Macaca fascicularis: one gene and its partner. The protein of the gene in region 2 interacts with the protein of the main gene of each other region in a pairwise test. Links are inferred from orthologs where the notes say so. Each region holds a gene or a part of one and is shown on either strand. Other genes may lie near its edges.

Evidence for each region. The genes of interacting proteins can lie anywhere in the genome.
Region 1: the proteins of COPG1 (region 2) and COPZ2 interact in a two-hybrid assay, tested with the Homo sapiens proteins (2 studies listed by BioGRID). The link is inferred for Macaca fascicularis from reciprocal best matches to the Homo sapiens genes COPG1 and COPZ2.

Annotation. Positions count from the first base shown.
Region 1 is NC_088390.1:58,692,361-58,698,267, reverse strand, and holds the start of COPZ2 (coatomer subunit zeta-2), read right to left. Parts: upstream 3,658-5,907; 5' UTR 3,638-3,657; coding exon 3,527-3,637; intron 3,383-3,526; exon of another isoform or gene 3,285-3,382; intron 2,779-3,284; coding exon 2,704-2,778; intron 1-2,703. UniProt on the Homo sapiens protein: The coatomer is a cytosolic protein complex that binds to dilysine motifs and reversibly associates with Golgi non-clathrin-coated vesicles, which further mediate biosynthetic protein transport from the ER, via the Golgi up to the trans Golgi network.
Region 2 is NC_088376.1:154,146,066-154,151,979, forward strand, and holds the end of COPG1 (coatomer subunit gamma-1), read right to left. Parts: intron 4,689-5,914; coding exon 4,550-4,688; intron 4,333-4,549; coding exon 4,234-4,332; intron 2,245-4,233; coding exon 2,114-2,244; 3' UTR 1,758-2,113; downstream 1-1,757. UniProt on the Homo sapiens protein: The coatomer is a cytosolic protein complex that binds to dilysine motifs and reversibly associates with Golgi non-clathrin-coated vesicles, which further mediate biosynthetic protein transport from the ER, via the Golgi up to the trans Golgi network.

The DNA of each region.
Region 1 (5,907 bases), on a different chromosome or scaffold from region 2:
AAAAGTAGAGGGATATTGAGGCCTGCTTTTGGAGTCCCCTCTGGTTTCTTGGAGGATCTTGTACATTCAGCAGATGTGCAGGGTGCTAAGGATTAGCATGGTCACTAGCGCACACTAATTCTACAGCACCTGGAGTCTACAGGAAAGATGGCAAAACCAGCACACCTTCTTAAACAATAATAATGATAATAACAACAGCTACTTTATTATCCCCATTACACAGATGGGGAAACTGGGGCATCAAGAAGTCAGGTAACGGCCGGGCATGGTGGCTCATGCCTGTAATCCCAGCACTTTGGGAGGCCAAGGCAGATGGATCACCTGAGGTCAGGCGTTCAAGACCAGCTTTGCTAACATGGTGAAAACCCGTCTCCACTAAATATACAAAAAAAAAAAAAATGGCAGGGCGCGGTGGCTCACGCCTGTAATCCCAGCACTTTGGGAGGCCGAGGCGGGCGGATCACGAGGTTAGAAGATCGAGACCATCCTGGCTAACACGGTGAAACCCTGTCTCTACTAAAAATACAAAAAAATTAGCTGGGCGTGCTGGCAGGCGCCTGTAGTCCCAGCTACGAGGGAGGCTGAGGCAGGAGAATGGCGTGAATCCGGGAGGCGGAGCTTGCAGTGAGCCGAGATCACGCCACTGCACTCCAGCCTGGGTGACAGAGCAAGACTCTGTCTCAAAAAAAAAAAAAAAAAAATTAGCCGGGTATGGTGGTGGGCGCCTGTAATCCCTGCTACTTGGGAGGCTGAGGCAGGAGAATCACTTGAACCCGGGAGGCAGAGGTTGCAGTGAGTCGAGATCGCGTCACTGAACTCCAGTCTGGGCAGCAGAGTGAGACTCTGTCTCAAGAAAACAAAACAAACAAACAAACAAACAAAACAAAAAAAGAAGTCAGGTAACTTCCCCAACATCTCACAGTTGTGAGGCCAAAGCTGGGTTTGAGCAGTAAGGACGGTCTGACTGCAGACAGGGTTATAGTGAAGATTAAATATCTAAGAAACAATCCCTCGCACATATCCCATAACTAAATTAATGTTTTTTTGTTTGGGAATGGTGAGCCTCTTTCTCTTAGTTTCTTAATCTGTAGGGAGCAAGAGCCTTTGGCCTTGCTGATCCACCTCTGACCATCTGCTGGGGCAAGGTGTGGTCAGCTCAGTTTTCAATTTTCTGGATGTGGATTTTGCCACTTAGTACTCAATCTGCAGGCAGATTAGCCAGCTCCCTACTGGCCGCTGCTTATCTGAATGTCATAAAAACAGAAAAGTTTCAGCTCCAAACAAACAAACAAACAAACAGGAAATCTATTTTTTGAGATGGGGTCTCACTCTATAACCCAGATTGGAGGGCAGTAGCTCGATCATGGCTCACTGCAGCCTCAACCTCCCAGGCTCAGGCGATCTTCCCACTTTAGCCCCCCCGAGCGCTGGGACTACAGGCGCACACCACCACGCCCAGCTAATTTTCATACTTTTTTTTGTAGAGATGGGGTTTGCCATGTTGCCCAGGCTGGTCTGGCACTCCTGGGCTCAAGCAGTCCACCCGTCTCAGCCTCCCAAAGTGCTGGGATTACAGGCATCAGCCACTGCGCCTGGCCTTATAATGCATTTCTTTTCTTTTTCTTTTTGAGACAGAGTTTCTCTCTTGTTGCCCAGGCTGGAGTGCAATGGCGTGATCTTGGCTCACTGCAACCTTCGCCTCCCAGGTTCAAGCAATTCTCCTGCCTCAGCCTCTTGAGTAGCTGTAACTACAGGCGCCCACCACCATGCCCAGCTAATTTTTTGTATATTTAGTAGAGACAGGGTTTCACCATGTTGGCCAGGCTGGTTTTGAACTCCTGACCTCGAGTGATCTGCCCACCTCGGCCTCCCAAAGTGTTGGGATTACAGGTGTGAGCCATTGCGCCCGGCCTTATAATGCATTTCATAGCTAATGCAGATGCTGTAGTTCCACTACAATTAATTGTGTTGACAGCAGAAATTTATTTTTGGATTATTTTAGGCCGTGTTTGCTAGGATAGATAACAGATAATTGAATGGGGGTACAGTGAAAACCACCTTGAGCTTAATGTAAAAAAACCTGAGTTTGCCTGTGAAACCTGTGAAATGGGAGAAGTGAAAAAATTAAATAAGTAAATAAATAAAATATGAGTTTGGATCTGTTAGGATATTAATACTTGTGACCTCAGGCAATTCACTTAGCTTCTCTACACCTCATTTTCTTCATCTATGAAATTAAAGAGTTGTATTACACAGTCTCTAAAATCCCATCTGGTTCTAAATCCTTAGACTCCTTAGGCTAAATCCTTAGTGTTTACCAAGCTGTAGAACAAAAGTGGAGGTTTTGAGGAGGTTTAGAGACAAACCCCAAAGAACAAAAGAGCTTGTGTAGGGGTTTGGGGACTAAGACTCCTGGGTCCCAGGCTCAACACTCCACTGATCCATTAGGCAGAAACTTCCCATGCCCAGGTCCAGCTGGCCAGTACCGATGACGAGGAAACACTTCAGGGAACATGAGTAGAAACAGGGGAGACCCCTCACTTCAGGGAGCAGCACCTTGACAAGGCAGGAGGATGAGAAGGACTTCTGGAGGGGTCTAAGCTGAGCTGCCCTGAGTCACAGAGACCACAGTGGAGTTTCTCCTGAGACAGGAGTGTCAGCTGGATGGGAACTGTGTCCCTCACAGGTGGGGTCAGAGGTTACCTTGGCCAGCAGCCGGCGCCCGTCATTATCTAGGATGAAAACAGCCTTGATGGTGTAGAGGGAAGGTTCCTGCAACTGACACCGGGGAGGAGAGTTCTGTTTGGCCCCTGGCTCAAGGTGGACACCCTGTCTCTATGGGATCTGCTGGCCCTAGGATACACCCTCAGGCTTCAGCAACCCCAGCCCTCAAGGTCCACAGCTGGTTCTGCCCAACCCTGTGCCACATGGGCCAACCCAGGTGCCCACTCCACTCCCAGGCAGATGTTCCACTGCAGGCCCCGAGTGGGCGCTGTGCCCGTTGGGTGCAGAAGGTCCTTCCGGGCCCAAGTTCTGTCATGCACTGACTGCTCCAGAGCCCGAGTCGGAGTGTATCACAGAACCTGGGCCGGGGGGGACAGCGGGCCGAGCCTCCTCCTTCCAGCTGATCCCTGGCCGGGCTGGACCTGCGCTCTCAGCCCGCCCCCAGGCCCTGGCCCTGGCCCGGGTGGACTTCAGCAGCATGCCCATCACCCACCGGTGATGGGAGGCGAGTCTGGGACGGACAGGCCACTCCTTACCCTCCCCGCGGAATCGCAACTCACCCGCCACCCCCCGCTCCAAACGGACCCAGAACTTCAGCCCCGCGCCGACGGACTCAGGACAGGCCTCCTCGCCGGTTGGCGCCGGGACGAACTTTTCCTCCCGGGTCCTGGGGCCGGTCAGGGGTGACACAAAGTTCCCAGCCGCTGGGCGCGCGAGTTCTGAGTTGGCTGCTCCCCTCAATCCTGCACCGTCCCGGCCCAGCTCCCGCCGCCCGGGACCCCCGCTCCCGCCCGCTCCGTACCCGCAGCCCCGAGGGCTCCCTGGCTCGAGCAGGCGGCGCCGGGCCCCCGGCCTGGGCCGCCGCGGCCCCCTCCCCCGGGTGTGGACGTGGCCAGGCCTCGGGCCGCTGCATTCCGCTCGCCGCCTCGCACTGACAGCGCCGCCCGCCTCCTGCCCGCCGCCGCCGCCCCGCCTCCGCGCCCGCCCCGTGGCCCCCTCTCGCGCGTGGCCTTCCTTTCCTCGGGGCCCCGTTCTCTTGCTAGTTCTCCCCGCTCTCCCCTCCCGCCCTCACCCCAGCTCTTCTTCCCCCACCTCTCCTTTCCCTCTCTCCTTGGCTCCTTCCCGAGTCCCTTACAGCCCCGAACTCTGCATCTTCAGGGTGCCCCAAGACCAGTCCTCGTCCTGCTTTCTGCCTGCTCTCCGGCCTGTGGCTTTGGTGTGCACCGGTGTCTGTAGGCTGTCCTGGGGCCAGCAGCAAACACAAGCAAAGCCCACTTTTGTCTGTTGACCTCTGGTAGGTACCATGGGGACAAATATGTCAGATCACCCTTTAGATCTCCGGGACAGGGTCTATAAGCAAGAGCACATGAGGACAGTTCTGGGGACACTCCTCTGTGAAGAGGCTTTCCCATTCCTCTCTCACTACCTGCAGAAGGGAACCATGGCCGCGGAGACACCTCCCCAGGCTCTCCTAAGACACAGATATGGCACCATCAAAAGCAAGACAGACGCCCAGCAGCACAAATGCTCCACCAATGACATTGGGCTTTGCAGCATGTTTTGGTTTTGTCTAAGTGTACCAAAGACAAGCTCTCATTTCAGGATATGCTGGCAAGTGGAAAATTCACACCCCAGTGATATGTATGTTAGTGGTACGTATGCATTTACTGGTAAAAACACTGTGCATGTATTTTACATTTGACACCTTCACATACGTTATCTAATATAGCCCACACCTGTGAGGTAGGCATAATGGACCCTCATTTTAAGGAAAGAGAGACTCAGAGGTTGTGTCACCTTTTCAAGACCATACAGCTAGTTGACTGGGAATAGAACCCAGATTTTTGACTCAAAATTTCTTCCCTATTCTTCTCTTCAAGCCCTCTTATGTTGTGGACCACAGTCACTTACCCTAGATGGTTACAGAATGGGGTTTTCCTCACTGAATGCATCAAGCCTTCTTATCTTCAAGCCTCTGCTGAAATATCATTACCAAAAGGTCCTCCTGACAGCCACCATATCTGACTTGATCGGTCTCTCCTGTCACATTCTCTATCTCAGTTCCTATTTCTTCCTTTCATTGCACTTTTCTCAATCTCTAAACATTATTTTTACTAATTTTGCTTGTTTGAGACATGGTCTCACTCTGTTGCCCAGGCTGGAGTGCAGTGGCTCGATCTCGGCTCATGTCAGCCTCAACCTTCTGGGCTCAGGCAATCCTCCCATCTCAGTCTCCCGAGTAGCTGGGACCACTGGTGCATGCAGCCACTCCCAGATCATTTTGTTTTTATTTTTATTTTTGTAGAAACAAGGTCTCAAGGCTGGGCTCAGTGGCTCACACCTGTAAACTCAGCACTTTGGGAGGCTGAGGTGGGCAGATGGCTTGAGCCCAGGAGTTCAAGACCAGCCTGGGCAACATGGTAAGACCTGGTCTCTACTAAAACTACAAAGAAATTAGCCAGGTAGGGTGGTGTGCACCTGTAGTCCTAGCTACTCAGAAGCCTGAGGTGGGAGAATCACCTGAGCCTGGGGGTTCAAGGCTGCAGAGCCATGATCATGCCACCGTGCTCCAGCCTGGGCAATGGGAGTGAGAACCTGTTTCAAAAAAGAAAAAAAAAAAAAAAAGAAGAAGAAGAAAAAGAATGGAAGAGAAGGAGGAGGAGGCAGAAGGGGAGGGGGAGGGGGAGGCAGAGGGTGATCAAGGTCTCACTATGTTGCCCATGGTGGTCTTGAACTCCTAGGCTCAAGTGATCCTCCCACCTCAGCTTCCCAGAGTGTTGGGATACAGGCGTGAACCATTCCCAGCCTTTACTAGTTTGTTTACAAGTGTTCCTTCTCCCCGCCCAGACTTTGAGCCCTGTGAGAACGAATGAATGTGACTTTTCTTTTTTTTTTTTTTTGAGACAGGGTCTTGCTCTGTCACCCAGGCAGGCTGGAGTATAGTGGTGTGATCATAGTTCACTGCAGCCTCAAACTCCCAGGCTCAGCCGGGCACAGTGGCTCACGCCTATAATCCCAGCACTTTGGGAGGCCGAGACAGGCAGATCACAAGGTCAGGAGTTTGAGACCAGCCTGGCCAACACGGTGAAACCCCATCTCTACTAAAAATACAAAAAATTAGCTGGGGGTGATGGCAGGTGCCTGTAATCCCAGCTACTCGGGAGGCTGAGGCAGGAGAATCAT
Region 2 (5,914 bases):
TTGCTTCGCTCCCTGAGCTCACTGCCCAACTCCGTGCAGGGCACTGAGGCAAGTCCCCAGAGGAGCTCTGCAAAAGCCTGCCTGAGCGCAGGGAAGAGCCGCAGCGGAGGGGGCTTCACGGTCCAACCAAGCAGGGCAAGCGCAGCTAGCAGGGGTCGCCTCCTCCGGGTGACTCGGTGCCCCCAACTCCCGGTCCTTCCCCCGAGTCCCCGCTGGGGTCAGCGCCCCACGCCTGCCAGCACCCGCTTACCTCGAGGGCGGCCACTGGACGGCCCGGGGCCGGGGTGCAGAATCTCCGCCTCTCGCCCGCAGCGTCCCCGGGCCCGACCCGCGAAACTGGGCCGCGGATCCCGCTCCGGACACTGCTCCCCGGAGCGGGGGCCGGTTCTCGGGGAGCAGGTGGCCCCCAGCCACCGGCCGCAATCCCTCGCCCCTCCCCTCCGCTCCGGCCCTCAGACTCCACCGCCCCGAGTTGCCTCACTTCGGCCCAGGCCGCCCTCTCCGCGTCGCCTCGCGTCCGCTCGGGCCTCCGCTCCCCTCTGTCAACCCGCGTCGCGTCCTTACCCCTCCTCTCCCCTCCCCACACCCCGGCCGCCCGCGTCGCCTTCCCTCCCCTCACCTCGCCCCGGCAGCACGCTTCACCTCCCTCAGCTCGCGTCACCTCCTTTGGCTCTCCTCACCGCTTCTCAGCTCCCTTCTGGCCGCTCGCCTCACCGCCCCGCACGTCAGCCCCGCCTCAGCCCGCGCTCCCGGCGCTAGGCCCCGCCCCCTGGGGGAGGGGGCCCTTGGTTCTCTCTGCGCCCTCGGGCACCGGAGGCGGCGTCTTCTCCCTTCCGGTTTGGGATGAATCTTTTCTCGTTTCCCCAGGAGACAGTGACTGCCTTGGGGAATGCATCCATCCCAAGCTTCTCGGGACTCCACTTTCTTCCATATTGGCCGTTCCCTGGCGGGGTTAACCTTCCTCCCCGCCCCCAGCGCGCCTCAGGGCCGCCGGCGGGGAAGGTTCCCGCCGCCCTGAGTCTAGGGCACAGGGTCATCGAAGGCGGGAAACCAGGAAACTCCACTCCTTACTTCACAGTCGTGCCAGCCGCCTCACAGTGCGAGGCAAAAATGGAGGAACACTGAATAAATGGAAGTCTGGAGAACTTTCAGGAATCGCGCACTTAGCCCTCAAACGATGGTGTACACTAGAATGAGCCTTTTCTGTCCCCGCACCCCAGCCCGCCAGCTGAATCTCTAAGGGTGAGGCCCAAATTTTTAAAACAGTCCTTACGGGTGTACTTTGTTCTCAAAGTTGGTAAAATAACCTGGCTTGAGTTTAAAAGCCTGCTCCCCTTGGGACCTAAACCGGAGATTTCTTTATCTGCAACCAACAGAGAATACTCTAGAGGGCTGTTCTTCGCCTATGCTGATTCGCTGAACAGGTAGCAGAAACCCCAGGGCACACTCCACATAGGACCTGATGCTGGAACGGCCACAGGACCCAAGCCCTTTGGAGCCTCCGTTTATCGACTACCAGAGGAGGATGCGTTGCGAAGAAGCACGAGTGGGAGGGAGTGGGAACTCAGTGCCTGTTAGCTGATTCACTCAACTAACCTGTACCGCTCCCACCCCTGGGCTTGGTGCTGGGACAGCGATGACGGGGAGAGGGTCCTGCCTCACAGGATTAAAACAGCCAAAGGGCTGTGGGTACAAGGGGGACAGGGCACGTGTTCTGCCTCTTGGGGGAGGCCTTGAAGGGGAAGGTGTAGCAATCATTCAATAAATACATGCTGATTTATTAGAGGGATAAGATGGTTTCTTGGGGGATAAATTCAAGAGGAGTCGAGAATGTTTTATTCATTTACAATGTCCCTTTCCTGGAAGGAAGGATAGCAAGATTTAGGACAAGCTAAAATCATTCCCTATTAAAAAAAAAAAAAAAAAAAAAAGGCACCCCCAAGTAGTCCCGGGTGGGGGGTAAGGGCAGAATAAAAAAAAAAATCTGCAATGATTCCTAATTGTTTTTGAATACAGAAGCTTGGGAAGGGGTTTCCGCCAGTTTCATGAGGAAGGCACAACTTCCAGGTAGTGTTGGGGGGGAAGGGCATAAGGTCCTATGCAGGCTGGCTGCTTATCCCACAGATGCCAAGATGATGTCTACTGGCAGCTCCTCCAAACTTCTGGCTGTCACCTGCATTGTCACTGTGTCCAAAAGCAGCAGCCGGGAACGCACCAGGATGTCATGACCACCCCGGAACACACCTAGAAGGGAAGACAGAAGTACAGGTATATACAGCAGAAGGGATTGTACAGGGCAGGCTAAGGATGGCATTTGCAGCAGCCCATCAAGACAGCTGTGGTATAGTGAAATGGGCAGGAGAGCTGGGCTGAAATCCCTGAGTGAGGGATTTCACTGTGAAAGTCACTGACTCTCGGCTGGGCACGGTGGCTCACACTTGTAATTCCAGCACTTTGGGGGGCCGAGGTGGGTGGATCATGAGGTCAGGAGTTTGAGACCAGCCTGGCCAACACAGTGAAACCCCATCTCTACTAAAAATACAAAAATTAGCTGGGCATGGTGGTGGGCGCCTGAAATCCCAGCTACTCGGGAGGCTGAGGCAGGAGAATCACTTGAACCCGGGAGGCGGAGGTTGCAGTGAGCAGAGATTGTGCCACTGCACTCCAACCTGGGTGACACAGCTAGACTCCGTCTCAAAAAAAAAAAAAAAAGTCACTGTCTCTCTGGGCTTCAGTATCCTCAACTACAAAATGGCGGGGATGATAATACCATATTCAGGCTTCTGCTAAGTTCAAATGAATTGATGGACATAAAAGGCTCGTATCTGACGTCACATAGGCTCTTGCATGTTGGCTGAATCTGACAGCACAAATGAAGGGGACAGCCCCACCACGAGAAAACCACAGGGCAGGTGTCTGCAAGACCCAGGGGACTGGGTTGTTTCAATGTGGCTACAAACTGTCAGCTGTAGACAGGGTACTGAAGCAGAGCCTCCTTTCAACCCTGTTTATAAACACTTAGCCAAAAAAAAATCATCCCATTTCCTTTTGTTAACTGTTTTAGGTATGATAATTGTATTGTCCTTTAAAAAAGGGCAGGGGTCATTATCTCTTAGAGAAACATAAAGATACAGAAGAATTTACATATAAAATGCTATTTCTGGAGTTTGCTAGTAAGTAATCTGGGAAGGAGAATGAGTGCAGGTACACTCAGCCAACCCTGTAGAAAATAAGACAAAGGATATGAAGACAGTGATCAGAAAAGGAAATACAAATGCCTCAACATTTGAGAAGATACTTAACTTCAATGAAAATACAAAAACTACACTAAGATATCATTGTCCACACAGACTGGCAAAGATCATAAAGTGTGGTAACATATTGTGTTGTCCACAGTGTAGGAAAAAAGGTATACAATTCTATGAAAGGCAACTTGGAGTTATTTATCAAGATGAGAAACACAAATCACTTTGACCTGGTGATGCCTTGGAAAATTTATCCTACAGATATTCTCAGTGTACACATGCAAAGTAAATTGTGTGTGTGTGTACACGATTATTTACTGTAACATCTGTAATAGCAACAGATTGAAATCAAACTAAATGTTCATCAGTAGCGGCTGTTCCACAGAATATGTGGTGCATCCACACAATGGAATACTAAGCAGCTATAAAAAAAAAAAAAAAAAAAAAAAAAAGGATTCAGTTTGGGATGAAAAAAGTTCTGGAGATGGATAGTGGTCATAGTTTTACAATAGTGTGAATGTACTTAATGCCGCTGAACCACACACTTGAAAATGGCTGAAATGGTGAATTTTATGTATATTTTACCACAATTAAAAGAAAAAGAATGAGGAAGCTCTACATATTGGCAGGAAAGATCTCTTAAGATGCATCGTAAAGTGAAAAGCAAATTGCAGGACAATATACCATTTGTACATAAACATTTGAGTTAAAAAAAGGAAATGTGTTCCTTTATAGCAATAAAATAACTGCAAGGTTATACAGGCATTGTTTGTAATAGTAACACTGGTCGTTTCTTGGAAGGGAATCTCAATGGCTGGCAGCCAAGGTAAGGTGGAAACATTTCGCTGCAGATTATTTTATAGTTTGCGAATTTTAAATGCTGTGAATTTTGACTCCCCGTATTTACAGTTAAGTCCTTAGCCCAGGATCCAGTGGACATCCAGGCTGTAAGCTATCCAGGCCCTCCCCACCTGGAAATGCCACTTACCAGCCAGAAGCAACGTGTGGGTATTCTTGTTATCCGGCACTTTGTCTGACCTCTCACAAGGGTGCATTCCCAAGAACTTCACAATATTACCCACAGCCTCTATAGTGAGAAATCCCAATATTGTTAAGCCATCTTGTCTGCCCTTTGTGCCACCACCACTCCCCCATGTTCTGAAGGGCTTTTAATGAAATGGCATTTGACATATGTGCCCCAGACATGGCCCTGGATCCTTGGAGAGAAAAGGTATAAGCACTTCAACAGTACCCAAAGATCTTGAACGGCAAGTAGGCCAGAGGTGGCATTCCCAGGATTTTACCTTCAAGTGTCTTGATGGTAGACAAGGTGAATGTTTCCTCCTTCTCAAATTCATCCCCTACCTCATCCCAGGCTGCTTCGAAGTTCAGTTTCATGACCTTTTGAATGTGATCAGCTACAGTAACTTCCAAATCTTCCAGCTGGAGAGATGGAGATAGAAATCAAGCACCCATCCACACACTCTGCTCTGAACTCATCCACACATCCCTTCCTGCCAACTCTTTCTGCAGGTGCTTGCTCGGCACTGAGGACTGTGCTAGACTCTGGGGACACAGAACAACTTGACCAGGTACCTATCCTTGAGGTGCCCACAGGCAAGTGGTATCCCTTCAACAGAAAATGCCCTAATCCCAAGTACCAATCTACTAACTCATCCTAGAGCTGCCTGCTGTGAGATCACATCTCTTTTAAGCCTGCCTAGTGTCAGTGCTTCCAGGATCTGGCATACAGGGAATTACATAGCATTCTCAGAGGTCTGCTTCCTATGCCTGTCATTTCTAGGGGATGATGAGCTCTTCAGGAGCAGCAGCTGTTTCTAGTTCAGCAGAAACCTCCTACCCCAGCTGTGTCCTCTGGATTTGACAGATCCTGAATCTCTGTCTCCATTTCAGCTGTGTCTTCTCTGAACTTGACACATAATACTCCCACTGAGTCCACATGAAGGTTCCCCATTCGTTCTCCCATCAGATTTTCACTGAGGCCCTACTCCTGTGGATGTTTACAGTGTATATAAATACAACTTCGACCCAGCTCTTTTTTTTTTTTTTTTCTATCATCTCTGGGTGGGCTCAAACAGACCCAGCTCTCTCAAGGAGCTCACTTGGTCTTAAAGCAGCTCCTGCCTCAGGGTCATTTCCAGCTTAAGGAAGGTCCATCCATCCTCAACTGTGACTCTAGGATGACACAATGGTGAATGTCAGCTGTATTCCACCATGACTGTCCCTCTAGTCAGGAGGAGTTCTAACAATCCCCATCCACAGGCTGAGCGTAGTGGTCTGCACTCAGAAGGCCCTGAGCCACTGCCCCAAGGTCAGACCCCAGAAGGATCCTGTACTTAGTTCCATCGAGCTAAGATAGGAGAATTTAGAAGGGCTATTCCAGTGCATGAAAGGACTGCCCAGCACGGCAAACAGGTCAAATGTATCCAGAAAGCATTTGACAAAAGGAATCAAAATGTCTTAAAATCATGCTTACCCTTTGACCCAATTATTCTCCTTCTAGGAATCTATCCTAAAGAAATAATCTAAAATGCAGATAAAAATTTGTATCTAAAGGGATATTTAGTGCAGCATTATAAATAGTGAAAATATGGAAACCCAAATGCCCAACATTCAAGGAGTGAAAGGTCAATCAAGTTTTGACATAG